Linked DNA regions of Canis lupus familiaris. The protein of the gene in region 2 interacts with the protein of the main gene of each other region in a biochemical or structural test. Links are inferred from orthologs where the notes say so. Each region holds a gene or a part of one and is shown on either strand. Other genes may lie near its edges. The genes, in order: SNAP23, STX1A, SLC6A1 and STXBP5.

What was found.
Region 1: the proteins of STX1A (region 2) and SNAP23 form a complex in vitro, tested with the Homo sapiens proteins (3 studies listed by BioGRID). The link is inferred for Canis lupus familiaris from reciprocal best matches to the Homo sapiens genes STX1A and SNAP23.
Region 3: the proteins of STX1A (region 2) and SLC6A1 form a complex in vitro, tested with the Homo sapiens proteins (2 studies listed by BioGRID). The link is inferred for Canis lupus familiaris from reciprocal best matches to the Homo sapiens genes STX1A and SLC6A1.
Region 4: the proteins of STX1A (region 2) and STXBP5 form a complex in vitro, tested with the Homo sapiens proteins (2 studies listed by BioGRID). The link is inferred for Canis lupus familiaris from reciprocal best matches to the Homo sapiens genes STX1A and STXBP5.

The regions. Positions count from the first base shown.
Region 1 is NC_049251.1:9,780,686-9,788,341, forward strand, and holds the end of SNAP23 (synaptosomal-associated protein 23), read left to right. Parts: intron 1-1,916; coding exon 1,917-2,075; intron 2,076-3,574; coding exon 3,575-3,719; intron 3,720-4,842; coding exon 4,843-4,908; 3' UTR 4,909-6,199; downstream 6,200-7,656. UniProt on the Homo sapiens protein: Essential component of the high affinity receptor for the general membrane fusion machinery and an important regulator of transport vesicle docking and fusion.
Region 2 is NC_049227.1:6,486,291-6,493,946, reverse strand, and holds part of STX1A (syntaxin-1A), read right to left. Parts: intron 3,253-7,656; coding exon 3,175-3,252; intron 3,016-3,174; coding exon 2,916-3,015; intron 2,197-2,915; exon of another isoform or gene 1,790-2,196; coding exon of another isoform or gene 1,649-1,789; intron 481-1,648; coding exon of another isoform or gene 423-480; intron 255-422; coding exon 180-254; intron 1-179. UniProt on the Homo sapiens protein: Plays an essential role in hormone and neurotransmitter calcium-dependent exocytosis and endocytosis.
Region 3 is NC_049241.1:7,414,662-7,421,100, forward strand, and holds the end of SLC6A1 (sodium- and chloride-dependent GABA transporter 1), read right to left. Parts: intron 5,989-6,439; coding exon 5,888-5,988; intron 5,153-5,887; coding exon 4,985-5,152; intron 3,279-4,984; coding exon 3,174-3,278; 3' UTR 884-3,173; downstream 1-883. UniProt on the Homo sapiens protein: Mediates transport of gamma-aminobutyric acid (GABA) together with sodium and chloride and is responsible for the reuptake of GABA from the synapse. The translocation of GABA, however, may also occur in the reverse direction leading to the release of GABA.
Region 4 is NC_049222.1:38,628,790-38,636,445, reverse strand, and holds part of STXBP5 (syntaxin-binding protein 5), read right to left. Parts: intron 7,273-7,656; coding exon 7,125-7,272; intron 6,917-7,124; coding exon 6,849-6,916; intron 6,575-6,848; coding exon 6,534-6,574; intron 5,491-6,533; coding exon 5,270-5,490; intron 5,078-5,269; coding exon 4,899-5,077; intron 385-4,898; coding exon 259-384; intron 1-258. UniProt on the Homo sapiens protein: Plays a regulatory role in calcium-dependent exocytosis and neurotransmitter release. Inhibits membrane fusion between transport vesicles and the plasma membrane.

The DNA.
Region 1 (7,656 bases), on a different chromosome or scaffold from region 2:
AGTATCTTTTATTTAGTGACTTTTGAATTCCAGCCCTCACTCTTTCACCTGTTGTACAATCTGACATCCTGATAAAAGCTGCACTTACCGGGGCACCTGAGTGGTTAAGCCTTCGCTCAGGTCATGATCTCTGGGTCCTAGGATCAAGCCCCCACATCGGGCTTTGCTCAGCAGGGAGTCTGCTTCTTCCTCTCCCTCTCCTTCTGTTCTCTCTGTCTCTCAAATAAATAATTTTTTTTTTAGAAAAACTGCATTTACATTACTTTTTTTTTTTTTAAGATTTTATTTATTTAGTCATGAGAGACACAGAGAGCCAGAGACATAGGCAGAGGGAAGAGAAGCAGGCTCAATACAGGAGCCCAATGTGGGACTTGATTCCGGAACTCCGGGATCACACCCTGAGCCAGAGGCAGACACTCAACCACTGAGCACCCAGGCGTCCCTATTACTTCTATTAATACATCTGGTTATTAACTTTCTGATAAACTAATATGCTGTTTATTTTATTCACTTGGGATTCTTCTGCTTTAGAATTTTGTCTGAGACTTAACCTTATATACATGAAAATGGGTTTCATCAAACTAACAGATAATTATATATAAATATTCATTTAAAAAAGGTATATCCTACCTTGTTCCAAGACAGATTTAACATGGCTTATTAATAAATTGATTAATTAATTAAACATAGTAGCCCAAGTAGGAAATTGATTTTGAGCACTTAAAGTGGAACCAAGAAAGGCACTTTGATTAGCTCTTCAGTGTTCATAGACGTATTTACCTTTTCAGTACCTCTTATAAAAAAAAAAGGTAGTAATATCCTTTCTGTAATCTGATTAAGGTTTAAGATCTGATTATAGGTTTGCTAAAAAGGAATCCTTATGTCTATTAAGAAAGGAGCTACCGTTTTCATAAAAATCTTTCCTCTGTTTTTGTAGTTTGGAAACTTCCTCATTAACATGTGGAATAAATCAGAGACCAATATTATAGCTATATACTTTTTGTTTATAGAAAAGTAAAAAATTAAAATTGTGTAAGTGAAAAGTGTACCTAGCCAAATAATCAGTAAAAAAGTTTTGTGTTATTTTTTTGTAACAGTCATTTAAAAGTTGCTTCACAAGGCCTTCCCCGCCCCCGCCCTTGCCATTATTACCAGTTTGAATGGTAAATCCCTATGTTAAGCTCTGGTTTTGTCTATATCAGTTACACCTAAAGTATATGTTTTTATTTTTAAGAGGTCTGGATTTAGGATCATTTTTTTAAAAGGAGGAAAAGTAAACTCTTAAATGAAGAAGCCCTAAATCAAAGAATTTATAACTGGTGCCAGAGTGTCTCAGATAGTTATCATTGGCTGTTCAATTTGGAAATAATTCTTATGCCTTTCCTTCATGATGTTTGTTTTTTAATTTAATGCAAAATTCTAACTTTAAAAACTGAATCAGCTGGATCTACTCTGGTTCAAATAAATGGGCACCTGGGATCTGAGTGTTGCGTACTCAGCCTTTTTTCTCTTTCATCCCTCATCAACTTGTGAGATCTCTCCAGGAACCTCATCAGGCATCACGGAACACCTTTCCTGAGGAATTTTTTCCACTGTTTCCTTTTCTGAAGACTGTCAAAGGCTAGGGGAACCTGGAAAATCAGATAATTGCAGTTCACTACTTGCTAACTACTTAGTGAACATTTCATGGAAATAGTTGAACCTTTAAAAGAATTTTTAATGTCATTGGGCTTACACAATTCATTTTTTTCCATATATTGTATTGCAACAGAGCACAGTATAGCTAATCTAGATCTAGCTGTAGGTAGCTTTTATGCTAAGGTTGCTAGGGTCATCCTCTAGGTAAAAAGAACTAATAATTACAATTTTTCCCTCTTGCTTTTTCATATCTTTCTACACTCCTGACTCTTATATAGGACAAAGAACTTTGAGTCCAGTAAGGCCTACAAGGCAACATGGGGAGATGGTGAAGACAACTCTCCTAGCAATGTAGTATCTAAGCAGCCAGGCCGAGTGACAAATGGGCAGCCTCAACAACCAGCCACTGGAGCAGTTAGCGGTGGATACATTAAACGGTATGCCAGCTCCTCCTGATGTTTTTACCCCTTTCCTAAATGAATGGCTCAGGAGGGTGGGTGTTGTTAAACACGAACCCTAACTCATCAATCAGAAATAGTGTTTATTCCATTTGAAAATGTATTTTAAAATCTGCCTTCTAACAAAATGTTGACTGTGGTTATTGACTTTCATTGATGGATTAATGTTTCTTTATATTTTTCAGTACTTTCAAAATTACCCAAGTAAGCATGTTTTAGTTCTATAAATAGGAAAATGTGTTTTAAAATGTATCATGGGGATCCCTGGGTGGCGCAGCGGTTTAGCGCCTGTCTTTGGCCCAGGGCGCGATCCTGGAGACCCAGGATCGAATCCCACATCGGGCTCCCGGTGCATGGAGCCTGCTTCTCCCTCTGCCTGTGTCTTTGCCTCTCTCTCTCTCTCTCTCTCTCTCTCAGTCTGTGACTATCATAAATAAATGAAAATTAAAAAAAATTAAAAATAAATAAAATCTTAAAAAAATAAAATAAAATGTATAATGTATGGGATACCTGGGTGGCTCAGCATTAGAGCAACTGCCTTTGGCCCAGGATGTGATCCTGGAGTCTTGGGATCAAGTCCCGCATCGGGCTTCCTGCATGGAGCCTGCTTCTTCCTCTGCCTATGTCTCTGCCTCTCTCTCTTTCTCTGTGTCTCTCATGAATAAATTCATAAATAAAAAAAATAATGTATCATATAGGAGTGCCGGGATGGCTCAGTGAGTTAGGCATCTGACTCTTGATCGCAGCTCAGGTTTTGATCTCAGGGTCATGAGTTCAAGCCCCGTGTTGGGCTCCATGCTGGCACCCCCCCCCCCCCACCAAAAAAAAAAAAAAAAATCTAGAGTTAGGGATTGGCTAGATACCTATAAGGATAACAGTAAAGGGCTAGACGGTAAATATTTTAGACTGCAGCCTGGTCTCTGTTGCCAACTACTCAACTCTGATTTATGGTGAAAGCAGCAATAAATAATACGTAAGCAAATGAGTATGGCTGTATTTAAGTAAAACCTTATTTACAGAATCAGGTAGAATGCCAGTTTTTTGCCTTTGAGCCAGAATTTTACAGCCTGTTTTACAGCAGTGATACTTTAGACTTAAGGTGCATGAGTCACTTGGGGGTTTATTTAAACATTGAATGCTGGGATCCACTTCCAGTTTCTGATTCAGTAGATCTGTAGTAGAGAGTGAGAATTAGCATGTTTTCATGTCTAATAAGTTCCCAGGTTATATTGTGATCACTCTTTGAGAACCATTGTTCTAGAGTTGTTTCTTCTCCTATACGGCTTTAAGACATTTTGTTCTCTTTGGTTATTCTTTTCAGTTTCTACCACAGGATGTTTTTCAAGAATGGTAACCTGCATTGCTGTGGGTCTAACGCTTGCTGAGGTCATTTTGGTTATTTATATAAAAACTAAATCCAGATTTAGTCTGTTTATAATTTACCAGAAGTACTGAATTTACTGTATTTTTTGTGACAGTATAACTAATGATGCTAGAGAAGATGAGATGGAAGAGAACCTGACTCAAGTGGGCAGTATCCTAGGAAACCTAAAAAACATGGCCCTGGAAATGGGCAATGAGATCGAGGCTCAAAATCGAAAAATAGACCGGATCACAGAAAAGGTAAATGCTCCCTCATGCCACAGGAATTTGAGATACCCACCATTTTTCAGTAATGTACATCTGTGCTTGATATTTTGGGGGGAGAACAATAAGAGATGATCCTGTCCGTACAGGTCTTATACTTTTGATGAGGTGGCAATTCTAACACATTGAAAAATTACAGCTAGGTCCTCCTATCTTTTGCTCATGGCAGTCGGTTCATTTTGAAAGCAAGACCTTAGAATGAAGTGGTTTTATTTAAAATTTCACATATGAAGCTTACAGTCTACTCTGACCTTTGGGAGGGCTATGTAAGTTCCTAAATCCTCATCTCATAAATCAGTAAGTGAAAATCAGTTCTACACAATGGTTCTTGTGGAGTGGACACACAAAACAGGGTCCTATGAGTAAAGAAAAAATGGAATTTTCTTTTTTTTTTTAATTTTACTTCACATGATATAAAAGATACCAAAAGTGAAATTATGTTCGCTTTTTGGATGTGTTGTGCCTAAAAGCCATTCTTGTTATTGTTATTTCATTAAAAACCTCAGTGTGCTTTAAAGGATGGGGTGAGTTTTTAAACTTAGTTCTGTTGAATTACTTAACAGTGTACTTCATTGAGGCAAAGAGTGGTTCATAAGGTGCTTTCAAAGCTGTCTTGTGGGTTTACATATTACCCATCTTTTAAATTCAGATATTGATGCAGGTGGTAATGTATCTATTAAAAAATCTTGAAGAATGTTCTTTCAGATTCTCTGGGTTAGACCTAGAGTAGTCTCAGATAAGATTCTATGATTCAGTTCAGGAAGATTTCCAGTGTCCAAATCTGTAACAAAAAGCATTCTTAATTTCACTGCATCAAAAATGCCATTGATTATAACATACATCCCAGTTAAACTATGAAAAAATGTTACAGAATTCATGAAATACGGTCAAGTTCTTCTGTTATATTTTTGTTATGTTTATATACCCAGTTTTCCCAAATGAATTTCATGTTCTGTTTCTTCTTGCCCAAAATGAATTTTGTGACTTTGTGTTTCCTGAATTTTCTCAGTGTGTCAGTTACTCCAAGTGTATGAAATTTAACTTTTATTAGAGCAGCTTACCTTGTAACATAATGCTGATATATTTTTCTTTTTTTCAGGCTGACACCAACAAAGATCGTATTGATATTGCCAATGCCAGAGCAAAGAAACTCATTGACAGCTAAAGCTGCTGCTGTACTTCTTTATCATGTATTCACTTCTCTAGCTCCTCCTTCAAAGCCATTACCTTTTCAGAGTTTGACGTTTTGGTTCCATGCTCTTCTAAATCAGGAGATAATGTGCAAGAAGGGCCAGGAGTACAGATCCCCTATTTTTTTTTTAATGTTCTCTTTCCTTTGAGGGTACACTATTGCTTGTCTGTCCTTGTATATTTTTTTTTCCTTGATTCATAGTTTTAGATTGGTTTTTATACATCTTATATCGTGTTATTTTTCATCCTTCTCATTTACTTTAGCAGGTTCTTTTGCTTTCAAGATTTGGAAGCATTGCCAAAGACAGCCATGAAGAAGGAAACTGGGGGCAAGGGGAGCATAAGGAGGAGAGGCAAGAGATAAGAGGTTGTTACCTCAGTAAAACTTGCATGCCACAAAGCAAAAATTGCATAGCCACAGTAAAGATCTAGCTGGGTTTAATTTTTAATTTAAGCTGCAGTTATTGCCAGTTTAGGCTAATCCTTGGTAACGGAGCTTTTATACACAATATTTTTGTTATACATCATAACTTGGTAACCTCTGCTCCAAAAAAAATAGAATTTTTTCAAAGTGAGCTTAGTTGCTGAACTTCTGGTGATTTGTGTATGTACATAGTGATCCCATTTCATATTGCACCTTACAGGAACACTTTGTATAAATGAATGGCTTTTTATTTTCACGTTATTAGTATCATGGTCCCATTACATGCTTGTTAACCTCATAAATTTGTCATTAGTCTTTGAAGAAAAAAAATATGTAAATATGTATGTGTAACATGAGAATTTCTCTCTAAAGCAGGGCTTAAATTTTTTTGGAGAAGTTTGACAAAGTATATCACGTGAATTCAGATTTACCTCAAAGCCAAGAATTATGTTTTGTTTTGTTTTGTTTTTTAAGAATTATGTTTAGATAGGCTAAAAGAAACTTGTTTTGATCTCAGGTAGAAAAATAGTTAGATTGCTTTGAATTTTTTTGTAGCTTTAGACTTTAAAACTAGAATTTATTGTTTAACTAAAAAGTGATTTGGAAAATTATGCCTTTGGTTTAATTATTGATGACTGCACTATCATTCAGTTAGCCTTGTGGATTGAATTATGTCCAGAATCACATTTATTTAGATCTTGAACAGTGTTAGAAGAATCTGTTTGGTATTTGTCACCCTTATTTAAGAACTAGTGTCTGCATACTTCAAAGCTATTAATGTGGATTGGTTTGACCAATAACCACTGCTTGATCTTTACAATTAAATTTTATAACTAACTAATGGAATTGTTCTTTCAAATAGGTAATGTGGGTTTTTTTTTACTAGTTGGTGGGAACCAGGGGAAGGTGAATAATTTCACTAGCTTGTAACAAATTGAATAAAGCAAAGGTCCATAAATCAAGAAGCACTCTGATGGAAAGCTGTCTTTGGCACCTTTCCCATTTTTTATTGGAAATACTGACAGGACTTTTCCTACAATTTGTTATGAGGTTCATTTTAATTATTCTAAGTCTCTTATTCATTTGAGCTTTAATACACTAATGATTGAAAGGATGTTTATGAGCAACAACTACAACCCATCTACTGAAGCTACTGTTAACATGAGGACTTTCATAGGCTGAAGAGGAAAATATTTAGAGTGAGATTCATTCAGGCCCTCTGGAATAGAAATGCTCCATGCCATGGACAGTAGCCCGGGTAGCTCAGCAGTTTAGTGTTGCCTTTAGCCCAGGGCCTGATCCTTGAGACCTGGGATCAAGTCCCATATCAGGCTCCCAGCATGGAACCTGCTTCTCCCTCTGCCTGTGTCTCTGCCCCTCTCTCTCTCTCTGTCTGTGTGTGTCTCATGAATAAATAAAATCTTAAAAAAAAAAAGAAAAGAAATGCTCAATGCCAAAAGCAGTAGTTTGGCAGGTAATGGTATATGTAAAGGAAGAAAGTATAAAACATTGGGGATTGTGGTACACATAAATGCCCATAGAACATTAAAAAATTTTTTTTTAAAGATTTTATTTTTTTATTCATGAGAGACACGGAGAGAGGCTGAGACACAGGCAAAGGGAGAGGCAGGCTCCATGCAGGGAGCCCAGTGTGGGACTCGATCTTGGGGTTCTGGGACCACACCCCAAGACGAAGGCAGGCACTCAACTGCTAAGCCACCCAGGCGTCCCCCGCCCCGCCCCCAAAATTTTTCTTACGTTACGGCTAAAGACAATAGTTCGTAGGATACCAAAATGCTGCCCCCACAATATAATTGGTTAGAAGTGTAAGCTAAGGCACTCAACTGTCTGAATTTATACTCTGCCACTTACTGAGACTGTAAGCCCATTTCTGTGCCTCAGTTTCCTTGTCTATAGATGAGGTTAATATTCCTCCTCCATAGAGTTGTCACAAAAAGTAAGTGTGGGGCAGCCCCAGTAGCCCAGCAGTTTAGCACTGCCTTCAGCCCGGGTCATAGGTCCTGGAGACCCGGGATCGAGTCCCACGTTGGGCTCCCTGCATGGAGCCTGCCTCTCCCTCTGCCTGTGTCTCTCCCTCTTTCTCTCTCTGTGTCTCTCATGAATAAATAAAATCTTAAAAAAGTCAGTGTGGTGATGCATGTAAAGGACTGAGAGCAGCACCCAACAAATATAAGAGCTTAATATAGTTGCTATTCTCTTGGGTGGAGCTCTTTTTGGGTCAGGAATCTCTGTGGATTTGATGAAAGACAACATGGCCTATCTCCCCAAAGAAGTAGA
Region 2 (7,656 bases):
GAGCCTGGCCCCAGACAAGCCTTGCCAGGAAGCAGCTGTGAGTGGGCACATGACGGCACCCACAAAAAGGAGACCAAGACCTAATGTACCCGAGAGTCAGCAAGACCCCAGGGCCACGCAGGGAAGCGGGCCCAGAGTGCCCCTCTACTGCCCAGACAAGGCCTGGAGCTTAGACTCACTCTTTAACTTGGAGCGAACTTTGTTTGCTGTCTTCTTGATGTCAGACATGAGCTCCTCCAGTTCCTCCTTTGTCTCTGGGGAGGGAGAAGGGGGACAGGGTAAACCCGGGGCTCCCCCTGTGACCTGATGCTCAGGCTCAGCCCGCGGGCAGGCCCAGGTCCCAAGCCTTCCCCTTTCCGCGGGCTAAGGCTCTGCCTGCCCCTCCAGCCCTGGGCCTGGGGCCACAGGAGCTGCAGCCTCACCCCCTCTTGTGCTGCTTCCGAGGAGCCTCCTTTCCTCCTTCTCTGGCTCTCCCACCCCCTGCGGATAACAGACGGGTCTAAATTTAAGGCAGAAATAATTGTGGAGCAGCTGGCAATGCTGGCATTGGCACTGGGGAACATTTACTTGATGCTTGCCTGAGTCGGATGGGGGGGGGGGGGTGCGGGCTTACCTAGAGTTACCTGGTAGCTCTGGGGGGATGAGCATCCAGCCACCAGGGTGACAGAGCCAGGGGCCAGGGAGGCTGAAGTGGGTCCCCCTCCACTGAGCACCTTGGGTGGGGTAGACCCTATTCTATGCAGAGTCACTGCTCCCCCTTTCCAGGTGCTGAGCTCAATGGAGACCAACTGCCGAGTACCAGTGGGTGGATGGGGGCATGAGGCACCTGGCCTGTGTGGGAGTTGATGGAAAAGAACCTCAGGGATGTGGGCCCCCTGGCACACAGGTGGCCCTGGAGCAGCAGGTGGCTGGTCCTGTGACGGCAAAGCTGGGGGATGGCCACAGCCTAGTGTTTCTGGCCCTTGTTCCAGCTGAACTGTCTCTCTAAAGCTGGCGGAGGCCGTGGGGGTACCCAGCTTGCTCCACCCCAGTGAGGGGTTAGCTGGCCAAATGGGACAAGGTGGCTGCCTCCCTCAGCAACCTGCCCCAGCTCAGGGCAACCCCAGGACTCTGCTTCCCGGAAGAAACCAGGACTGAGCTCTTGCTCGGCCTTTCTTACCCACCATCTGCTTTCCTCTGGGGCTGGCCCTCTCCTAGAGGGTGTTGGAAGGGCATTTACAGCAGTTACTTTGGGTGGGCACCTACTAAATGGATTGGGAGGTGGGGGGCTTCGAGGAGCGGAGGAAGGCGCTTCATTCGTACAAACAAAGGAAACTTACCAGCTGCTCTGACGTCTCTGCCTCTTTTGCTCAGATCCAAAATAGCCCAACCCGGATGGCGGCCCCCAGGGAAGGCAGAGCAGGCCTCGGCCGGGAGAGCCCCCTGCTTGCTGCCACCTTTCCCGGTGACTCCTTGTTAACTGCTCCCTCTGCTCTAGAACCGGTACCGGGGAGCCCCCTCCCTACATCAGTGACCACCGGCTGGTCCTGACTCACGGTGGCAAATCTGAACTAGCTGCTACTGACCGTACGACGCGAGGAGACTTTGTGCGGAAGGTGGCACGAGGCAGCTAAGATAAATGAACAGGCATCTGTTGCCCTGTGCTCACCCCGTCTTCCAGCAGGTGAATGCCCTCGCTCTTTATAGGACTCTGTTCCCACAGGTAGCCCCTTCTGACTCTCATCAGGAGGGACACACACGAACTCAGACACACATGCACATAAAGACATAAGATGTCACATGCTGCCATCCCCAACAAATGTCTGGGGGCAGGGGCAACGCGTGATGGACACCCTGAATGTGTGCTCTGCCTTGGGTAGCCCCTCTCTCCTTCCCACGCATTCCAAGGACAGTCTCCCGGCTCCCTGCGGACTCATTTTGTTTTCCAGGGGCCTGGCACTGCACCTGCTTAGCTTGGCACTGGCCTCAGGTTCAAACACACTTTAGGGGCTGTGGAGAGATTTCTTGTGGGGGCTTGAGGGTGCCAGTGGACTGGGGCTGAGGGGCCACAGATAGGAAGGCCCTGCTGGAGAAACCCATCCCTGAGTGCTTCCCCTGGCCCTCCCATGGCTAGGACCCTCCCCCTTGCATTGTTGGGGCTCCGTGAGCTGGTGTCTTCCAGAGGCGCTGGAGCAGCGAGAGGAGGTGAGCAAGCAGAAGCAGTGCGCACTTGCCCAGGTTATGGGCCTGGGCCCCCAGCGCTGTCACTGACTCCCCCAGGCTGGGAGGAAGGAATCTCAGGCCTGTATGCTGTCAGCCTGGCACAGGGCAGTGTAGTCATCAACACCTCCCCAGGAATTGGGACAGCAGGGTCAGGGGGACCTGTGTGGGGACAGAGTGGAACGCAGACACACAGAGGCTCCCTGTGCGGAAGGAGAAAGGTGACTTCCTGGAGCCCTGAGAATGCCCAGCTCTGGGGTACCAGGGCCAGGTGCCAGGGCTGCTAGCTCTTTCTGGAAGCTCCTCCTGCTTGGCCGGCCTGCCCTCCCACGGTGCTGAGGCTCAGCGCTGCCATCTGCTCCCCCGGGGAGGCTCAGGAAAGGGAGGGGCTGGGCGGAGAGGCTTCCTTTTGAGCTGGGCAGCACCCACCCACCCGGCTTACCTGGAGAGGGCAGGGCTGGCCCGAGGACGGCCGCCCCACTCACACAAACCTGTGTGAGACCCAGGTCCAACAGGGGATCCCAGGCACTAACCCCCACCCCGGGCCTCGGCCAGCTGTGTTCCCCAAAGCTTTCCATGAGGGCCAGGCCCAGGTACCCCTCAGGCGACACACAGCGTGGGTGCTGGGGTTCTAGGAAGCCACCCTCCCCTGCCCCCCCGCCACAGCAGCGCCTTCTAGGAGGCCTGAAAGCCACCCCTCAGTCCTACACACTCACTCTCGTCAGGGTTGGGGGAGGCCAGGATGGCGCTGTGCTTCCGTTTCACCTCCTCCACGTTCTCTGAGATCTTGTCAATGAAGCCTCGGATCTCCTCCACCTGCACACCAAGGCCAGCCGGTCAGGAGGAGATCCAGCTGGAGGCCCGTGGGCCCTGGGCAGAGGCTGGACCAGGCTTCGGGTGGGGTGGGGGTGAGACATGGGCCCCCCACCAAGGTCTGCCAGAGTATTCGAGGATGTGGGGTGTGCTGGTTCCCACCTGTTCAAAGAACTCATCCATGAAGCCATCCCGGTCCACAGTGACAGTGACATCGTCATCATCATCGCTGTCCTTGGCCTGCACAGGGGTGTGTACACGTGAGCAAAACTCTGGTAGGCCCACAGGGTCCTGCTGGACCTGGGACCATAAACTACCCAGCATCCACATACTGCAGGCTTGCAGGCTCAGGTCCAGGGCCCTCACTGCTGCCCTGTGTCCTCTTAGCAGGGATGAGGTCTGGCTGTGCCCTCAGCTCCCAGCCACAGCGAGACCTCAAGGACCCCAGGGGACCCAGCATAAAGACAGAAGCCCTGCCTGCCGAGCTGGTGATGGGGAAAGTCTCTACCTCTAGGCCAGGGACTCCTTCCCTGGCCCAGCTGCCTGCCCCCTCCCCACAGGACTGGGGTCCTCCCAGCATGGCTCTCACCCAAGGGGACAGCTGGGAAGGCTTGGTTCCCTGGCTAGGGGCCCCAACTCACAGACCTTGCCTGAGACAGGCTGCCTGGACACCAGCCTTTTCTACTTTCTGGTCCTGAAGCTTTTTTTTTTTTTTTTAATATTTTATTTATTCATGAGAGACACAGAGACAGAGGCTGAGACACAGACAGAGGGAGAAGCTGGCTCCCTGCAGGGTGCCCTATATGGGACTCGATCCCAGGAACCCAGGATCATGCTCCAAGCCAAAAGCAAATGCTCAACCACTGAGCCACCCAGGTGTCCCTGGTCCCAAAGGTTTTAATTGGGATGGGGCTCAAAGTTCCCAAGCTCCCTTTGGTGGGGGGGTATGTCAGGAGTGAGAGGCCTGAGTGCCACCCACACCTGCCTCCAAAGAGGTGGGATGCTGACACAAGGGCCATCCCATTGCACCTCAAGCAGGCCTGAGAGATACTGCCTGCATGCAGCCTGTGTGTGTGCAGCTCTGCAAACTCAGCTCTCCCCCCGTCATTTTTGTTTTTTAATTTTTATTTATTTATTTATTCACAAGAGACACAGAAAGAAAGAGAGGCAGAGACACAGGTAGAGAGAGAAGCAGACTCCCTGCAGGGAACCCCATGCAGGACTCCATCCCGCAACTCCAGGATCATGCCCTGAGCCGAAGGCAGACACTCAACCACTGAGCCATCCAGGCATCCCTTCCTCCGTCATTTTTTTTTTTTAATTTTTATTTTATTTTTTTATGATAGTCACAGAGAGAGAGAGAGAGGCAGAGACACAGGCAGAGGGAGAAGCAGGCTCCATGCACCGGGAGCCCGACGTGGGATTCCGAGTCTCCAAGATTGCGCCCTGGGCCAAAGGCAGGCGCTAAACCGCTGAGCCACCCAGGGATGCCTTCCTCCGTCATTCTTGACCTCAGACCTCAATTCTCTGTCCCGCCAGGCCCAGAGCTGGGCCCTGACCAGCCTGAGAGGCCAGTCTTCACCTGGCTCAGGGCCTGCCCTAGGCCCCACCCCACCACCCAGGGAGAAGCCGGACAAAAGCCACCCCCATCCGGGGGCAGAGTAATCACAACACCTCCAACTTCCCAATGTGCTGGCCAAGCTCATCCCCCGTCAGCCTCACCCTCACCTGCTTGGAGTCGCGGCTGTGAGCAGCCCACCATGCTGAAAGGGCAGGGGCCAGGGTCCCAAGGGTGGGACTGTTCCCCTCAGACTGGGGTGATGAGACTTGGTCACACCCCTTCCTGTCTCAGCACCCAGGGGGAGGTCACCTGAGCAGGCTGGGCACCAGCCTTCACCTGGATCTCTCTTATGTCAGGGTCAGAGCCCAAAATAGGGCCCGACGGAGGCCAAGGGACCTGGCAGGCTGCTGGGGAGGGACAGGTTCTGTGCCCCGCGCAGACAGCGGCTGGCTGAGGGACCTGCCCCTGGGTCTGTCTGCTGCTGGCAGCGGTGGGGACAGTGACTCCTGGCTGCAGAAGGCTAAGACGGAGTGGGAAGGCACAGCATGGTCTGTAAAGGGCTGTGCCCCTGGGGCTCTCAGGGTCCCACTGCCCCACCAGAGTGGGACCAGACAGGAGAGGGGGTTGGCTGGGAGCTTTATGGAGGCGGCTCTGACAGGCCCCTCTCATCAAGAGATCACACCTCCTCCCCCAGCAGCTAAAATAAATCCTCGCTCCCACAAGTGCCTGTGGCTGCTACCAGGTGGCCCCCTCCCCCCAGCCAGGCCCACCTATAGACAAAGAGACTCTAGAGGCCATTTCCACACTTTTGAACGTTGCCAGGCACAGGAGCTAAGCTGGAGGAGGACTTGTTAGAGAAACTGAGGCAGAGTACAGTCTGGAGGAGCCCAGGGCCCCCTCTGGGGCAGCCTGCTAGCCTTCAGCAGGTTGCCCTCTCTGTCTTTTTGGGGTCTAAACAAAGATAGGGATGGACAGGAAAGGACAGAAGGAGAATTTTCCAGCTCTCCTCCCAGAAAGAGTAATGACCGGCTAGAGCCAAAGACAAGGGCATCAGAGTTTCCAGAGACGAGAGCCGTTGCCAGAGACCCCTGGGATCTGGCCTGGAGTCTCTCCCTGGGCCTCGGCTTGGCTGTCTGTAAAACAAGGACATACGTTCTCCAGCAACCAGCAGCTCCAACCTGCTCCCTGCACAGACTTCTCAGAAAACTGAGGCTGGAGTCAGGGAGTTTCTGGGAAGTCAGGGAATGGCAGGAAAGATGCCCACGGTCTCCTCCAGGACCTCTGGCAATGAAGGCAGAGCCGAGGAAGGGGACCCCTGGGCCAGGGCCTGACTGGGGCTCCCAGGTCAGGATCCACCCCGAAGGTACCATTCAGATTGATCCCAAAGTCAACTGGAGGGTTTAGGGCCTGACTTAGAGCCTCGGTCACACCAGTGGTGACTCCAAGCAAAACTTTGAGGGGATTCTCCGTGAGGACCCTTTCCTTACCAAGTCCTAGCACTTCTTCCTCCTCAGGACTTTTTACCCACTGCCCCCCTGCCCCCCATCACCTCACTGCCACAGCCTGAACCTGGACCCTGGCACACCCCACCTATACCCATCTCCCTGCCGCTACAACCTACCTGCTGACATTCCCCTCATCCTTAGATGCCACTTCCTCCCAGAAGCCTTCCCCAGCTGCCCCAGATCAGTCTCTTGCTCCTCCGGTTTCCCACACACTATTCACATCTCTCCTGACACGACAGCCACAGACTCTCAGGCCCTAAGGGACCTGAAAAGTCACCTTGGCCTCAGCTGCCAGCCTCAGCTTGCACACCCCCTGTGATGGAGAGCTCACTGCTTTCCTGGGCAGATCTGCCCACCCTGGCCTGCCTCGATTGTCCCTTTCCTGTGGCATGGCCCCACGCCATAAAGAACCTGTTGGTACCCTCTCCCTGGGATCTGAAGGCAATGTCCACACTTTCCCTGGGTTTTTCTTCTCAAGTTGACCATTCCCTTTCCCTCAGATCCCTCTCAGGGCCCTAAGTTGCAGCCCCTACCCCAGACTCATTTGGTCCAACCTCTATCATGATAGAGTTTGTACATGATACAAACTGAATCTACTGTTGGTTGTGCTCTAAATTGTACCAAAAAGCTGGCCATCCCCTCCCTCTTTTTACATGGTTTACCTCTGTTAATGCAACCAGAGATCAATAAAATTGATCATGTAGTACTTCCTGTCCAGAAAAGCCCCAAGCCCTTCCCCACCAATGTCTACTTGGCTGGATTTTAGGCTCAAGCTAAGGACCTTCTTTCCTGTTTAATGTCTTCATTTGTTCTGATCCTTGTTGGGCTTTGTGAGACTCTGATGGCTCATGACTCTGTTGCCCCCTGCAACCTCATCCACATCTAGGCCAGAGCCCTATGGCACCTTTCTAGAGACATCCTCAAGGTTAAGTAAGACCCCAATCAGGTTTCACTGGACACTAAGGAAATGACAAACCCCAAGCCCAGATGCACTCCTGACCCAAAAGGAAGGAGGAACTAGGCTGGCATGCCATCTCCTAATGTCCTGGGATGGTCAGGGTGGACCACGCCGACATGTACAAAGGGGGCACCCGTATGGTTTTGAATCATGAGGCCCCCAGCTCCCTTGGAAATCTGCCAGCCCTCAGAGAGGGCTGGACTGGGGACCTGAGGTGGCAGCTAGAGTGGTGGTCATAAGCCCCAAGCTGCAAACATCTTCAAGATTAAGCCCCTGAAGGGAAGCCTCTGACACCATATGAGCACCCTACCAGCCACCTGGCCCAAACTGGGCTCTGCCTCCATCTCCTGTGCCCCTCCTCTGAAACTTCCCATTCCCAAGGACTCCCTAAATCAGAAACTGGGGTATATCTACATTCTTCCTCTTGCTCTCACATCCATCCAACATTTGACTTGTTGTGGTGTTTTCTGTTCATCCATCGGTGGTTTCAATCCTGCTCCAGCACCATAATCCCCTGGAGGGTTTAAAGAACCCCCCCCCCCCCCGACCGCCCCGCAAAGCCAGCTTCCAGGGCTCTACCCCACAGACACCCAATCAGAATTTAGGGGTGTAGAGCTGGT
Region 3 (6,439 bases), on a different chromosome or scaffold from region 2:
TTTTTAAATTTGCTGTTTAATGTCGTTCTAAGTAAAGGAAAATTTAAAATCTAAATCTTCACCATACATTTTATTGTTCACCTGTATACTATGCAAATGCCAATATAGGAGCACGTACTTCTTATGTGAATTACACAATATGCGTTTCAAAAATGGAATACATGCACGTGTATTCTGTTCTCTCCCCAACAGAAGAGACGTGCACAAGACTGAGTTGTTTCGATTTCACTTCTTGAGACGTGCACATTTTGCCAATACTCACTACTTCCACTTACTGATGCTCGGGGAAAGTATGGGGTTCGGTAGCTTTCCCTTTCCTTCTATGCCATCATTTTCAGTGTGAGTGGTTGGCTAGAAGGGGGAAGCAGGAAAGCACAGGCTAGGGGTCCTTGGGTGCTGAGCATTTCTTCGAGCGCCACTGCCTTTTTCTGCACTGGAAGCAGGTTCTCGTTTGAACAGAGTTGTGACCTCTCAGAGCCCTGCTTCACAGTGAAAACATCTCCTTTATGTAGCTCAGAGTTGTTTTTTTTATTTACTCATTCCAGGACTTTTGGCAAACTCAAGCTGTATCTTGCTGTTTTTTTTTTTATGAGATTTTATTTATGTATTCATGAGAGACACAGAGAGAGGCAGAGACACAGGCAGAGGGAGAAGCAGGCTCCATGCAGGGAGCCCGATGTGGGACTCGATCCCGGGACCCTGGGATCATGATCTGAGCCAAAGGCAGACGCTCAACCACTGAGCCACCCAGGCGTCCCTCTTGCTGGGTATTTGAGCCCAAATCTCTCTCTCTCTTGGGGAAAAAATGGTTCTGTGTGTATGCAGTGTTGTTCCAATGAAAGAAGCTATTGTGCCCCCAGCTCAAAGAATTGAAGGTCTGACATTGTATATCATAGAACCTTTATTATTTTTCCTCTAAATTCTTAGAAACGTACATAACGCCCGTGCTCTAGTTATGACACCATTTATAGACATTTAAAATGCATCTTCATTTATAAATATTTTACATTTGGTCCATAGAACAGATAATTTTTCTAAATAATACTGTAATTTTTTTAAAACAGGCTCTGTATATAGTTTGAATATGTATATATTACATATATTTTTTTATATAGAGATAGATTTACTTGGTGTTCTGAGAATAAACCCTTATTGCAAAAAAAGCATATATGATAATACAATATCTTTTCCCCCAGGGCAAATACTAAAAAAAGGTACACATATTCACAGTTCTCACTGGAATTGTACGACACGTAATATTGTGCTCTATAAGTAGGTTTGGATGGAAATCAGTTAGGGGATTTCTTGCCAAACATCTCAATTAGATTTGCATACAAACATTAAGTACACTGTATTTGTCTTAGAAAGACTCGGCCTTAGTTTCACATTGAAGAACAAAGAGAAAGTCAGAAGTTTTCCTGCCCTTAATCTAAAGGAATTCACACAGGATGGGGGGGTGGGACCATGAGACACAGTGAAGGGTTCCTTTCATTCTAAACCCTATAATTTAACAACACATATGCATTTTGATCATGGATTCACCAGTTGGCATTTGGGATGCCTTAGCAATGAGACTATTTTACAGATGACCTCAGGAAAAGGTTTGAGATTTCCTAAACGATACCAGATAAGACCCTATATACCACACGGGAGGATGAATGTATATGTGTGTGCCTTTATATGTGTACATGTACTTTTTGTTTCTCTACAAGAATGTGCTTAATATTCTGAGGGTAATACCTTATTGCAAGAACGGGTATGCTGGTCACTGTCGGATGAGAATGACAAGAGATTAAAAAACCCACAGTCACAGTTATTTACCATAATTATTAAGGATTAGTTGTAAAACACAGTTTGTGAGCTAACTAGCTAAGGAGCTACGGGACACAACATACGATTTGCTACATGGGAACCCATCTTCCTGGCAAATGAGAAACGCTGAGTCACTGGAGCTTGCAAGAAACTGTCTTTGCCTGATGTGCCGCCGCCGCCACCACCACCACCACCACCACCACCACCACCACGGAGCCCAGTTCCGGAAAGAAACAAATACTACCTCTCAATGAAGCAGTTTAATCTTGGAAGCACTTTGAGGGGTGGGGGCGTGGGGGTGGTCTGGATTAACACTAGCTCCTCAGTTAGTAGCTGGGGAGATTCAGTGGCAGTGAGGGGATTCCCGCTGAGGAATATGAACGAAGAAGGCAGCATTTTTGACTGGGGCGGCAGTGAGGACACAGCTGAAGGGGGAGCTGGAAAGATAACTGCATCCATTTTGACTCAAGGACAGAGAAACCTTCACCTTGATTTCCTCCGCACCTGATTTGTGCTCCACGAAACGGGGCAAGCCTAAGAAAAACTGGGGCTTCTGATTAGGGAATTTCCCCAGCGGAATCTTAGGTCCCCCAGAATGGCAATAAAAAAAAAATCAATTGTGCTTGTGGCAGTTTTCCAAGGACGGAGTGAGGGAGCTGGGCCGTCTGGAATGATGGCTCTTGGGCCAGGTGCAGTCAGCATGGCCTGGCTAGGAGGGGGCGGGGAGGATGCTCTGCAGATTGCTGGAGACACAGCTCAGCTGGCAGCTTGGGGTGGGGGGACACTGATGGATGTCCTTGGGGGTGCTTTTGTCAAGCTGCCTCGGGAAGGATAAACAAAAAAATGAAAGTAAGAGCTCCGCTGGCTCCCTGCTACTGAAGGGTGAGCTCTCCCTGGAAATCCCCATTATACAAAATGCCCTTTGCGTGTGTACAGAGCAGCGTTCCGACGGAACCAAACTCCGGCAAAGTCCGAGAGTAAGAGTCATGGGTTTCGGCAGTAAGAGAACAGTCAGGAATATGACTAAAAGCCCCGAGTGTGTGAGCCTCACTGCACCACACTCACTGGCAGGATAAAAATGATCTACTGCACAGTCACGAAGGCTGATTGCTTGATGCTTATGGGGCCCGGATTCAAAAGGTCACCAGCCTGCAGGTGCTGGAGCCATCGGGTATCTTTGCCCACGGCGGGGCCCACCGGGGGTGTGACTGTCCCCCACCTCCCCTCTCTTTGCATGGTGATGGTGTCTGGACTCGCCACTCGAGGTAGGTTGAGATCGATGGTATCTTCAGACATCAAGTGGTGGTCATGTTCAGCCAGGTTGGGGGGTGAGTGTCGGGTCGGCAAGCCGCCAGACACCCCTAGATGTAGGCCTCTTTGCTGGCTGAGCCACTGGCCTGGGGCTGCTCCGGACCGTTCTCTGGGCGAACGATGTCTTCGCTGGGCTGGATCATGACCTGGATGCGCTGTGGGCACCAGGGAGAATTTGGGCTGGGAGGAGGAAGACTGGCCTCTCCGTTCCCCCACCCTCTTTTCAAGTCAGGAAGGCCTGCTCTGCCTTCAAAACGCACCCAGACTCTGGCCTCGTCCCCACATCCTCTGTACTCTCTGGCCTCCTCGCTGCTCCTCACATGCCAAACACATACCTGCCCAGGGCCTTTGCACTTGCTGTGCCCTGTGTCTGATCCATCCTTCCTTTCAGATCATGACACAGTTCGATCTCTACCTCCTAGGTCTTGGCTCCATGTTACCTTCCCAGCAGGGCCTCACTCAGCACTCCCTTTCTACTCTGTCTCCATAGTCATTCCTATCTAACATGTTTTTAGTTTGCTATTGCTGGTCTTCCTCTACTAGAATGTAAGCCCCATGAGGGTGGGATTTTTGCCTATTTTTTCTCACAGCTGTGTCTCTAGCACTGACAACACTGTCTGGCACACAGTAGGTGTTCAATACAGATTTCCTGAATGGATGAATCTCCCACTACCTTCTCTACACATACTCCCTGAAATCCTGTCACTTCAGATAATGCACCGTGTCTTCAGATGTGCCCACTCCTGGGCCTTTGCACAGGCTGTGTACCCCTCGTCAAATGCACTGCGTTTGCCTCTCTCTCACTCCAAGACCTGACTGCCTTTCACAGCTCCAGGGTTGTGGAAAATGAAAGCATTGGGCCTGGATTTGAAGAAAGGGCTGCAAGCCTCCGCTCTCCTAATAACTTACTATAAGGGGTAGGGAAGTGATTTCTCGCTTGACCTCAGTTTCTCTGTAAAAGGAGGAGGCTGGTCCAAGAGCCTCCCTTACACTGTCTTCCTTAGACCACAGACCACAGAGCTCCCTCTTCTGGTTCTGATTAGTCTGGAAGGTCCATCTTAGTAGAAATAAGGTTGAGAACCATTGATCCCGGGGCCTCCCAGCCGTGGCCCTCTGTATCTGATTATTCACCCCTCCTCAGGGAAATCTTCTCAGCTTACCTTAATCCATCAATGTCTCTAGCACCTGGGTACCTCCAGCACTGCCTTGTTTCACTTGAGAATTTGATATAACTTAACAAAGAGCTAGTGTGGACCTAGAATGTGCTGGCAGGCACATCTCCTTGAGGGTAAGACCACATTTTGTCTTTATAAAGCTCACAAAAGAGATCTAGAGTAAGTCCGCAGTACAACTGACCCCACCCTTCGCCTGCTTCAAACTCTTGAGGCGTTCCATTACCCTCAAGATAAAGTCCAAAGTTCTTGTCTTAATTTTGAAAGCCTTTCATGATCTGGCCTTTCTTACATCCCCAACCTCTTCTCTTATCACCCCCTCTGCATCCTTCTCCATTCTACCCTCCAGCCACAATGATCTCCCTTCAGTTCGCCAAATGCTGTTTATACCCCCGGGCCTTTGCGCATGCTTCCCATCCACCTTTCTTGGAACATTCTTTCTGCTTCTACTCTTAACTCTGACTCATCCTTAGGCCTCTTCTTAGCTATCCCCTCTTTTAAGAAGCCGTCTTTAACCCTCCTCAATCCAGGCGGGGCTTGCCCATCTCCCCAGTATGATTGGCACATGTTGGCACTTCCAACATTCTGCTATCATTGGAAATGGAGTTGTCTGTTTCCTAACTAGACTGTGATCTCCACAAGGGTAGGGGAAAGGGACTAGCAATCTGAAGGGTGAAGAAGGGACTTACCTGCTTCAGGGAGCCCTTTAAGGTAAGGAACATGTAGGCCATGTACCCAGGGATGAGGACCATGGAAGACAGAGCCATGAGCCAGCCCACACCCTGGCCCCACTTGGGGAAAACGTAGTTTCCCATGGTGAGAGGAGTCATCTGCACAGCACTGAAAATGAACACACCCTGCGGATGGTGGAGGAGAGGGAATGGGACACAGTTAGTCACCCAGATTGGACAACCAAGGCCCCTTCCCAGACCCTGAAGCTGAGAGATCCACTGACCACCTCCCTTGCCATGAGGCAGACCCTCACAAGGGCCCAGCATGTGGGAATCCTGCACCGAAGGCCACTGCTCCTACATAAGACATCTCTGTACAGGATAGAGAAAGGGACCCCCCCCCCCCCCCCCCGGGGAGGATCAGTAGCAAAAGGCATCCGTTCCTCCAAGTTAATCAGCTTGGCAAGCCAGAGTGCAGGACACGACCAATCCAGTGGTCTAGCCCCCACCCCAAGGACCTGGGGCGGCCACCCCAGGGCTGCTTAGGCCTCAGCTTCCTCCTGCGTGAGGGAATAAAGGATGCTGAGGATGAGAAGCCTTCCTGAGCCCATGGCTGGGGCTTCAGAATCAGGCCTGCCTGGTTTGAATGCAGCACCAACTAGCCGGGTGATGCTGGCAGGGTGAACCCGGGTCCCTCAGCAGCAAAGTGAAGGCAAGAATGCCTATTTTGCTGAGGTTTGCGAGGACTATGTAATGTGTCTGGTGCTGTATAGGGCACAAAGTAGAGGCTCAGCAAATGGGATGTAGTAGTATTTTTAGGAAATAGGTGCCTCTGCTTCCAGAAATTTCTCTTTGGACCTGAGTCGCCCCAGGGCCTGGTCTGGTCTCATCCTAATGGGGCTGGTCAAGACTTGTCCTTACCGCTACAATGATTGGGGTGAAGAAAGACCAGCAGAGTTTCCACCAGATGCAGGGCCTGGAGCCAACCATCTCTTGGATGTTGTCATAGAATCGGTTGACACCTGTGACATTCGGAGTGAGAGCAGGAGGTATGAATGAGTTGTGGGGACTGCAGGCTCAAAGTCTCAGTCTGCCACTTTCTTAGAGTAATGACCATAGGCAAGTCGCCTGACCTCTAGGAGCTTGAGCCTCTTTGTAACATAGGGCTAACACTCTAGGGGGGGCCTCCCTATCTAATCATTCAATAACCCCCAGCAGGTGGATTATGTCAGGAAGAAAGCCAGGCACCTACATGTGAAAATGTCCACCAACAAAGGGATATGCTTATAAAGCATGTCCTCACCTCTCTCAAAGTCCCTCCCACCCAACAGGTAGCCTGGCATTCCTTCAAAGCCCTGTGGACAAGGCCATTCCTTCAAAGCCCTGCTGATCTGATGCTATAAGCGACTGCTGATGGCCTGCAAAGAACCACAAATCTTGCAGAATGCCACAGGTGTTTTGAAGTTCCCAGAC
Region 4 (7,656 bases), on a different chromosome or scaffold from region 2:
CGCTGCGCCACCCAGGGATCCCCACATGTTGACTTTGAACCTTTATCTTAATTTATCATGAAGCACTATAAGTATATCCTGAGTAATTTATTTGGAACAGAATTATTTTCCAAATAAACACTAAATATGATCTGAAATTAAACAACTTTTTATACAATTTTTTAACTGATGCTCTAATAAAAGTCATCCTGTTTTTAAAAATGAAAAAAATGTATGGCATAGTATGACGAGACTGAAAAACACATAAATTATACTTACAATCCATATGAAGAATTGACTGCCAGGCTGGTTATTTGTTGTGGTGGTTCTCCACCCACCCATACCAACTGAATAACTAGTTCTGTTTGATAACCTGGAGACTGCTTAAGTGGTGAATTTTTAACTCTGTAATAAAGGAAAACATATTATCTTTTAACCCATCTTCAAGTATCTTATTAACTTCTGTAATTATAAAGTCATGCATAAATATGCAAACAGTAATTTATATATGAAATTGTACTAAATATACAAAAATGAAAAAAAGCTAAATCCTGTTCTCTAGAGGCATTTAATCTAGTTGGAGACAAAGTATGTACATAAATAACAAAAGTAAGAAATCATACATAAGTTCCCATTACAGACTGGGGGGTTGGAAGTAGGGAGGGAGAAAAAGACCATGGGTAGGAAGGGGAGGGAGGAATGGGGAAAGGAATAAGGAGAATGAGAAGCCTATGAATTAAGAAGAGGAAAGAAAAATCAAGTTGGAAAAAAATTCAAGTTAGAAAAATAGACTTAAATATATGGTTTAACAAAATTAAAAGTAGCCAAAACATAGTGAGTACAAAAATTAAAAAAAAAAAAGTGACAAATTTACTTTTGTGTGCATGATGCTTTCACTATTAAAAAAATGTACTCTTGGGCAGCCCAGGCGGCTCAGCGGTTTAGCGCTGCCTTCAGCCCGGGACCTGATCCTGGAGACCCGGGATTGAGTCCCACGTCGGGCTCCCTGCGTGGAGCCTGCTTCTCCCTCTGCTTGTGTCTCTACCTCTCTCTCTCTCTCTCTCTCTCTGTCTCTCATGGATAAATAAAATCTTTAAAAAGAAAATTAAAAAAAGATTAAAAAATAAAATAAATAAAATAAAATAAAGTACTCTTTAAGTTGATAGTAATTTTGGTTGTAGACTCTTTCCCCAATAATTGCTGAATAGGTGCTCAAAATATATTGCTTTTGCAAACATATGCAAACTAGTAGTAGGAAACCCACAGTCAAAGATTAACAAGTGTGTAAGTTTGCTCATAGTGGAGGTATGTGTAGTAACAGTGAGAAATCAATATAGCAAGATAGGCTAGGTCCAGACTTTAAAGGGTCTTCAAAGCCTGGCTGCAAAGGTCTGATGTTGGTAGAAAGAACTGAGGGCTTTTGAAAAGCTAGAGTCTAAATTCTGGTTTTGCCATTTTCCAGATGTCTTTTTTTTTTTTTCTTTTAAAGACTTTATTTTTTTTATTCATGAGAGAGACACGCACACACACAGGCAGAGATATAGGCAGAGGGAGAAGCAGGCTCCATGAGGGAGCCCGATGCAGGACTTGATCCCAGGACTCCAGGATCATGCCCTGAGCCAAAAGCAGACACTCAACCACCGAGCCACCTAGGTGTCCTTCCAGTTGTCTTCTTATTGTCCAAATTTTAGAGTAAACATGAATCATTGAGGGTGCTCCAAAAATGAACGGAGTTACAGTCACTTCGTGCAATATCTATAAGGCAGGACACTCAGAACTGTATGCTCAATGAGCAGACGTTCTGGCTTTTCTCAGGGAAATACCACTAATCAGTGGTGGCTGTCCATCTCAAGATATAGAAATGAAAATAGAGTATTCTTCAGAATAGAAGAATCTGTGTTATTTTTTCCTTGGATAAATTAGGTAAGGTTCAAAGAAGTGTCCACCTTCTTCTAGCATATTTAACATGCACATTAGATTAGAGCAGGAACAAAAATACAGGGATAGTATCAGAAGTGCGTACATGGGGACATTTAAAACTTCAGTGATGAAGACATACAAAATTCATGGAATTCTTAATTAGTAAGAATAAACAAACAAACAAAAAATTCTTAAGCAAAAATAAGCCAGTCAAGCCTGCTGCAAAATCCCCAATAGGTAAAAAAATTAGAAATGGGATCAAGAAATAACAGGATAGGTTAGATTTACAAATGCAAAATAGGGACACTTGGGGGCTCAGCAGTTGAATGTCTGCCTTTGGCCCAGGGCATGATCACAGGATCTGGGATCCAGGATGGAGTCTCACATCAGGCTCCTTGCAGGGAGCCTGCTTCTCCCTCTGTCTGTGTCTCTGCCTCTCTCTCTCTCTCTGTGTGTCTCTCATGAATAAATAAATAAAATCTTTAAAATGCAAAATAGGGGATGGGTGGGTATAATATTTTATGTCTACAATGTTTACATGTGAATTATTTTAATATTTTAATATATGTAAATGAAGGTTTTACTTTTTAAAGACAAGGAGCTGAACGTTTATAAAAAGCTCCATAGTTTGTACAAATATATATACATTTGTGAGAGACACAGAGAGAGAGGCAGAGACACAGGCAGAGGGAGAAGCAGGCTCCATGTAGGGAGCCTAACATGGGACTTGATCCCGAGTCTCCAGGATCAGGCCCTGGACTGAACGTGGCGCTAAACTGCTGAGCCAGGCTGCCCTATACAAATAGATTTTAAATGTATGTTTGGAGACTTTGCTGTTTCAAAATGTCTGTTCGGACTGCAAAAGCCCAATTAAAATACCTAAAAACACAAAATTTTACTGGTTATAGGAATAAATTGAGTAACTAATCTTAAAATGTTTCTTCAAAGGAACAATTACATATGCAAGCATTTTGTATAAAAACAAAGTAGTAATTATTTTAATATCAATTTGATTATATTTCTGACATTTAAAAATTGGCTTTTGGGACTGTGGATGAAAACTATGTGAAGGTAATAAATAACTGCATTTACCAGAAAACTGTTCAGAAGAAAAAAAATGAGGTATAACTCAAATTGCCTGTGATTAAAAAGTCATTGGTAAATTTGTCAATTTTAGACAAAAATCTTAAAAACTTTGCCATAAAAATGTTATCAAAACAAACATCAAAGACAAATTGTACTTTACAGGCTTATAAGACTTGAACTTAACAAAGGCTGGAGAAATACACATTAAAATCAAAGAACATTAATGGAAATTTTACAAATTTAAGTTTAAAGCAAAGCAGTACTGAGTAAGTAACAACATGGAAGAATGTAGAATTCTCTGTATTTCCAATTTCATTCTAGCAAAACATGTGCCAGAACTGTAGCAAAAAGGAGGATGTGTATGTATATACTTGAGAGAGGGCCAAAAAAAAAAAAAAAAAAAAACACCCAAAAACCCTGAGACCTTTCTGAGAAATGTGGCTGCTTAACCTGAATGCTTACATTTTTTAGATCAGATCAGAGTCTCCTGTTGGCACTAGTGGCATTCTGACCTGCAAGTTCTTTGTTGCGGGGCACCGTTCTGCACGTTTGAGCATCATCCCTGACCTCTATGCACGAGATGCCAGTAGCACCCTGTTCCTACTGTTGACAACTAATAACGTCTCCAGATATTGCCAATAAAATGATGAGGAGCAAAAACATCTCTGTTTGAGAACCACTAACATAGAACACACAATCTCAAATTTATATAAACATATAGATTTTTTTTTTGAAGTCTGTAATTTTGGGGGCACCTGAGTGGCTTAGGTGGTTAAGTGTCTGCCTTTGGCTCAATCCTGATTTCAGGGTCCTGGGATCTAGCTCTGCATTGGGCTTCCTGCTCAGCAGGGAGTCTGTTTCCTCTCTCCCCCTCTGCTGCTTCCCTCTCCCTACTAGTACTCATGCTAATCTCTCAAATAAATAAATAAAAATCTTTAAAAAAAAGTCTACACCTTTTAAATGACTATGCTATAAAAAAATCTGCCCATATCTTTGGAGTCATTGCAATGCAATGCTAGTTACACAGACATTCTCCACAGCAATTCTTTACTACTCATCAAGAGAAGAAACTCCAGTAGATCTAAAATACAACCAGGACAAAACCTGGTTCTTTTAACAAATGCCAATGATCTCTCATTAGGCCTCCCTACCTTGAATCTACTAATCTGGCTTTTGCACCTCAACTCATGTACTGAATTTCTTTGACATTTTCCATAACCACTTTTTTTAGTTATTACCCCAACTGAACTTCTTTGTAAATGTAATTAATCACAGTCTTATAAAATTTTTCAGTGATCTTAACTTTTTCCTCATTCTTTTATTTCTATGTCATATTTAAGGCTCATATCCTTTAAAACATTTAACAACTCAATAATATAAGTCAGAAAAAGAAAGGATAAGAAAGTTGTACCCAATTTATTCCTGTTTAAAAAAGCAAAATGTATTCATATCCAGAATGCTACAATAAAGGCATTTAAATAATGATACTGGTGTGCTAGAGAAGATTCAGAAAGCCAAGAAAATGATTACAAAATGACTGAATCTCTAAAGACAAAAAAACCAGAACTTTCAGAGCAGTAGAAAGCAGTCTACATATATATTTGATCCACATTGAATCCAGAGTAGAAAACATCTATAGATGTGAAGATTGAGCTATATATACAGAAAAGATCCACGCTGTTCTACGGGTATGTTTACAGATCAAATCTTAGCACTTCCAAAGATAAAAATCATGGAATTCAATCATATTCCTTTTGATACCACAGAAGAATGGGTTGTATTAACCACAGCACAACCCAGAAAGAAATGTCATTTTTCTCTATCACAGGAAATTATCACTGTAATAAAGCTTGTAATTTATCTAAATTAAATTTATCTTATTTCCAAAACATCTGTATTTTTTAATAACATACTTTAAACAAGGGACATTATCACGAAGCCCATCAGATGAACTGCTACTGGTAGAAGGATGAGACTGAGGAGGAATGGGCTGAGGAGTGGCGCCCCCCACTGGTGTTGGCAAAGGCGGCGCCTGTTCGCCCTCTGGGGATTCCACATCATTTATTTCATATAACAATCTAACTTCAAGCATCTGTTGTAAAAGAAAGACAGTTCTTCTTTTAATAATTATTCATCTTATACACTTTCCACAAAAGATAGATGGCGATGTAAACACTTAAGTGTTCTTAAAAATTCTAGATAAAATTGACTTCAAATAATTTAAATAGTTCAAAAATTTTAAATGTCAGACATTTGACACTGAAAATAATTAAGAGACTATTACCGGAATGACTTCTGTTATCACTTCTTGTTTGCTGAATCTGTAAATAATGACATGAGCTGAAACTCCAGCTATACACAGCATTCTACTTTCTGGACACCAGGAGATAATCTGAATGGCATATGGATCTTCATCTACAATGTCTGTGTTTGGTCTGTCATCTTTATTTCTTGATTTTTCAAATACTTTAGATGTCTTTAGTTTATATAATACTTGCAGAGTTACTAGAAAAAAACATTTGTTAGATACTTTAATACAAAAAGAATACAAGGTAATATCTAGTCAGTCAAACTATCTAAGGAAAACAGCCTATATTTATTTGAACCATATTTTTATTTTCAGGTCTATATTTCTCAATTACACTTTTAGATAATGCAATCACTGTACCTATTGACCAAAAAAAAAAAAAAAAAAAAAAAGGTGTACTATTAAAAACAAAACAAAAAACACATGATAATGAATTAGATAACCTGAAAAAAGACAAATAGATTTTGCAAAAAAAAGTATAAATATAATGAAAATAATAAAGAACATAATTGCTTTCTAAAATGATTTTCTACATATTTTCTCTGTAAAAGGTACTAATAAATATTATCTCACACTTCTATATGATGAAACACAAAAGATCACAAGTTAACTAGATTCTCACTGTTTGCTATATATATTTGGCAAACACTGATGATTCAAACCATTCTTTCCTTTTTTGATATTGTGTAAGCACTATATATATATATATTCTGCCAAGAAAGCACAAATTACTGTTAGTATAAAATCAGGCATTAGGGGGTGCCTGGGTGGCTCAGCGGGTGAGCGTCTCCCTTTGGCTCAGGGCATGATCCTGGAGTTCAGGGATCGAATCCCATGTCATGCTTCCTGCGGGGAGCCTGCTTCTCCCTCTACCTGTGTCTCTACCTCTCTCTCTGTGTCTCTCATGAAAAAACAAATCTTAAAATAAAAACCCAGGCATTAAAATTATTCTACAAATTTCTGTTGATTTGAAATATATTCCCATTTTCATCTCTGATTTAAGGAAATTTTGAAGACAGAATTTGATTACTTTTGTTGAGAATCATTATTGATTTACTGGTTAATATCCTTAAAAATATCTTAAACATCTATTAGAAATTCTAAACTATACTTGATAAATCAGGTATTAAACTCATAGCTCCCACATTTTAAATTAAATATTGGTTATGCAATTATAAAACATGTTGTATATGTTACAGTGATTGTGTAACATATAACAAATAATATTCAAATTACTTACTTGCAGAAGCATCCCAGAACTTAACTGATCCATCAGCATGCCTATGAAAAGCAAATGAGTTAAAATTGTGAAGAAAAAAAGAAAAAAAAAACCCTACATATTTTTCTTTCTTTGAAGTATACTGTTATGTGAAAAGACAGCAACCAAAATAAAGCAGCATAAAATTCAGGGTAAACTGGCAGGTTCCAGACAACAACATTTCTTAATAAGTTACAGCATAAAGGAAAGCATTACCTGCCCAATTAATTAATATTCATGTAGTCTTAATTATATCTAGCTATTAGAGATTTAGTGGTGAAACAGGATTTTACTTACCCTGTAATAATTATTTCTGGGTAACTTTGAACACCCAAGCCCCAATTACCTCCATTAATGGGCCATTCCTATAAAAAAAAATTATTGTATAAAGCAACTTCCAAGCATACATCTTCATATATATTTCTATGACAACAGTAAAAAACATATTTTGCTTCAAAAAGGGATTTTCTATATACTTTCTCTAAAAAAGATATCAATGTTATAAAATACTCCACGGTGATACATATAAATTACTGAAATGTAACATTAATTACTAAAACTCATGTTCTATACCTTTTTGCTGTAACCTTGACGTTTCTGTCTGGCTCCAACAGAATAAAGTGCAGGAATAAGGTCCCCAGGACAACCAGCAAAATATTCGCAACATGTAACAGGTGATTCATGTATACTCAAAGGGTATGGATTTTCAAATATAGGATATCTTTAACAACAGGAAAAGAGAAATATTTATTAATTTAATAAAATTAAAACGAAAATGAGAACCTAAAAAAATACTTACAGCTTTGGAATGAAAACATTTTTTAAACTTTGATTAATTTAAAGATAATAGCCTCTGAAGATCCATATAACATATTACCTGAATTTACATTTTAACTTTGGGGATACAATGCTCTTCTCTGTATTTTTGGAAACTACAAAAATACATTCTACCAGAGATTTAACAGATTTCATTCATGTAACTATGTAAAAAAAAAAAAAAAAAAAAAAGGCATCTTTTATAATGCAAGTTGCTCAGTTAGAACAATAAATAGAAAAGCTGCAGTTGGAACTCTGTACCATGTGGCACATACTGGCCTGAGTGCTT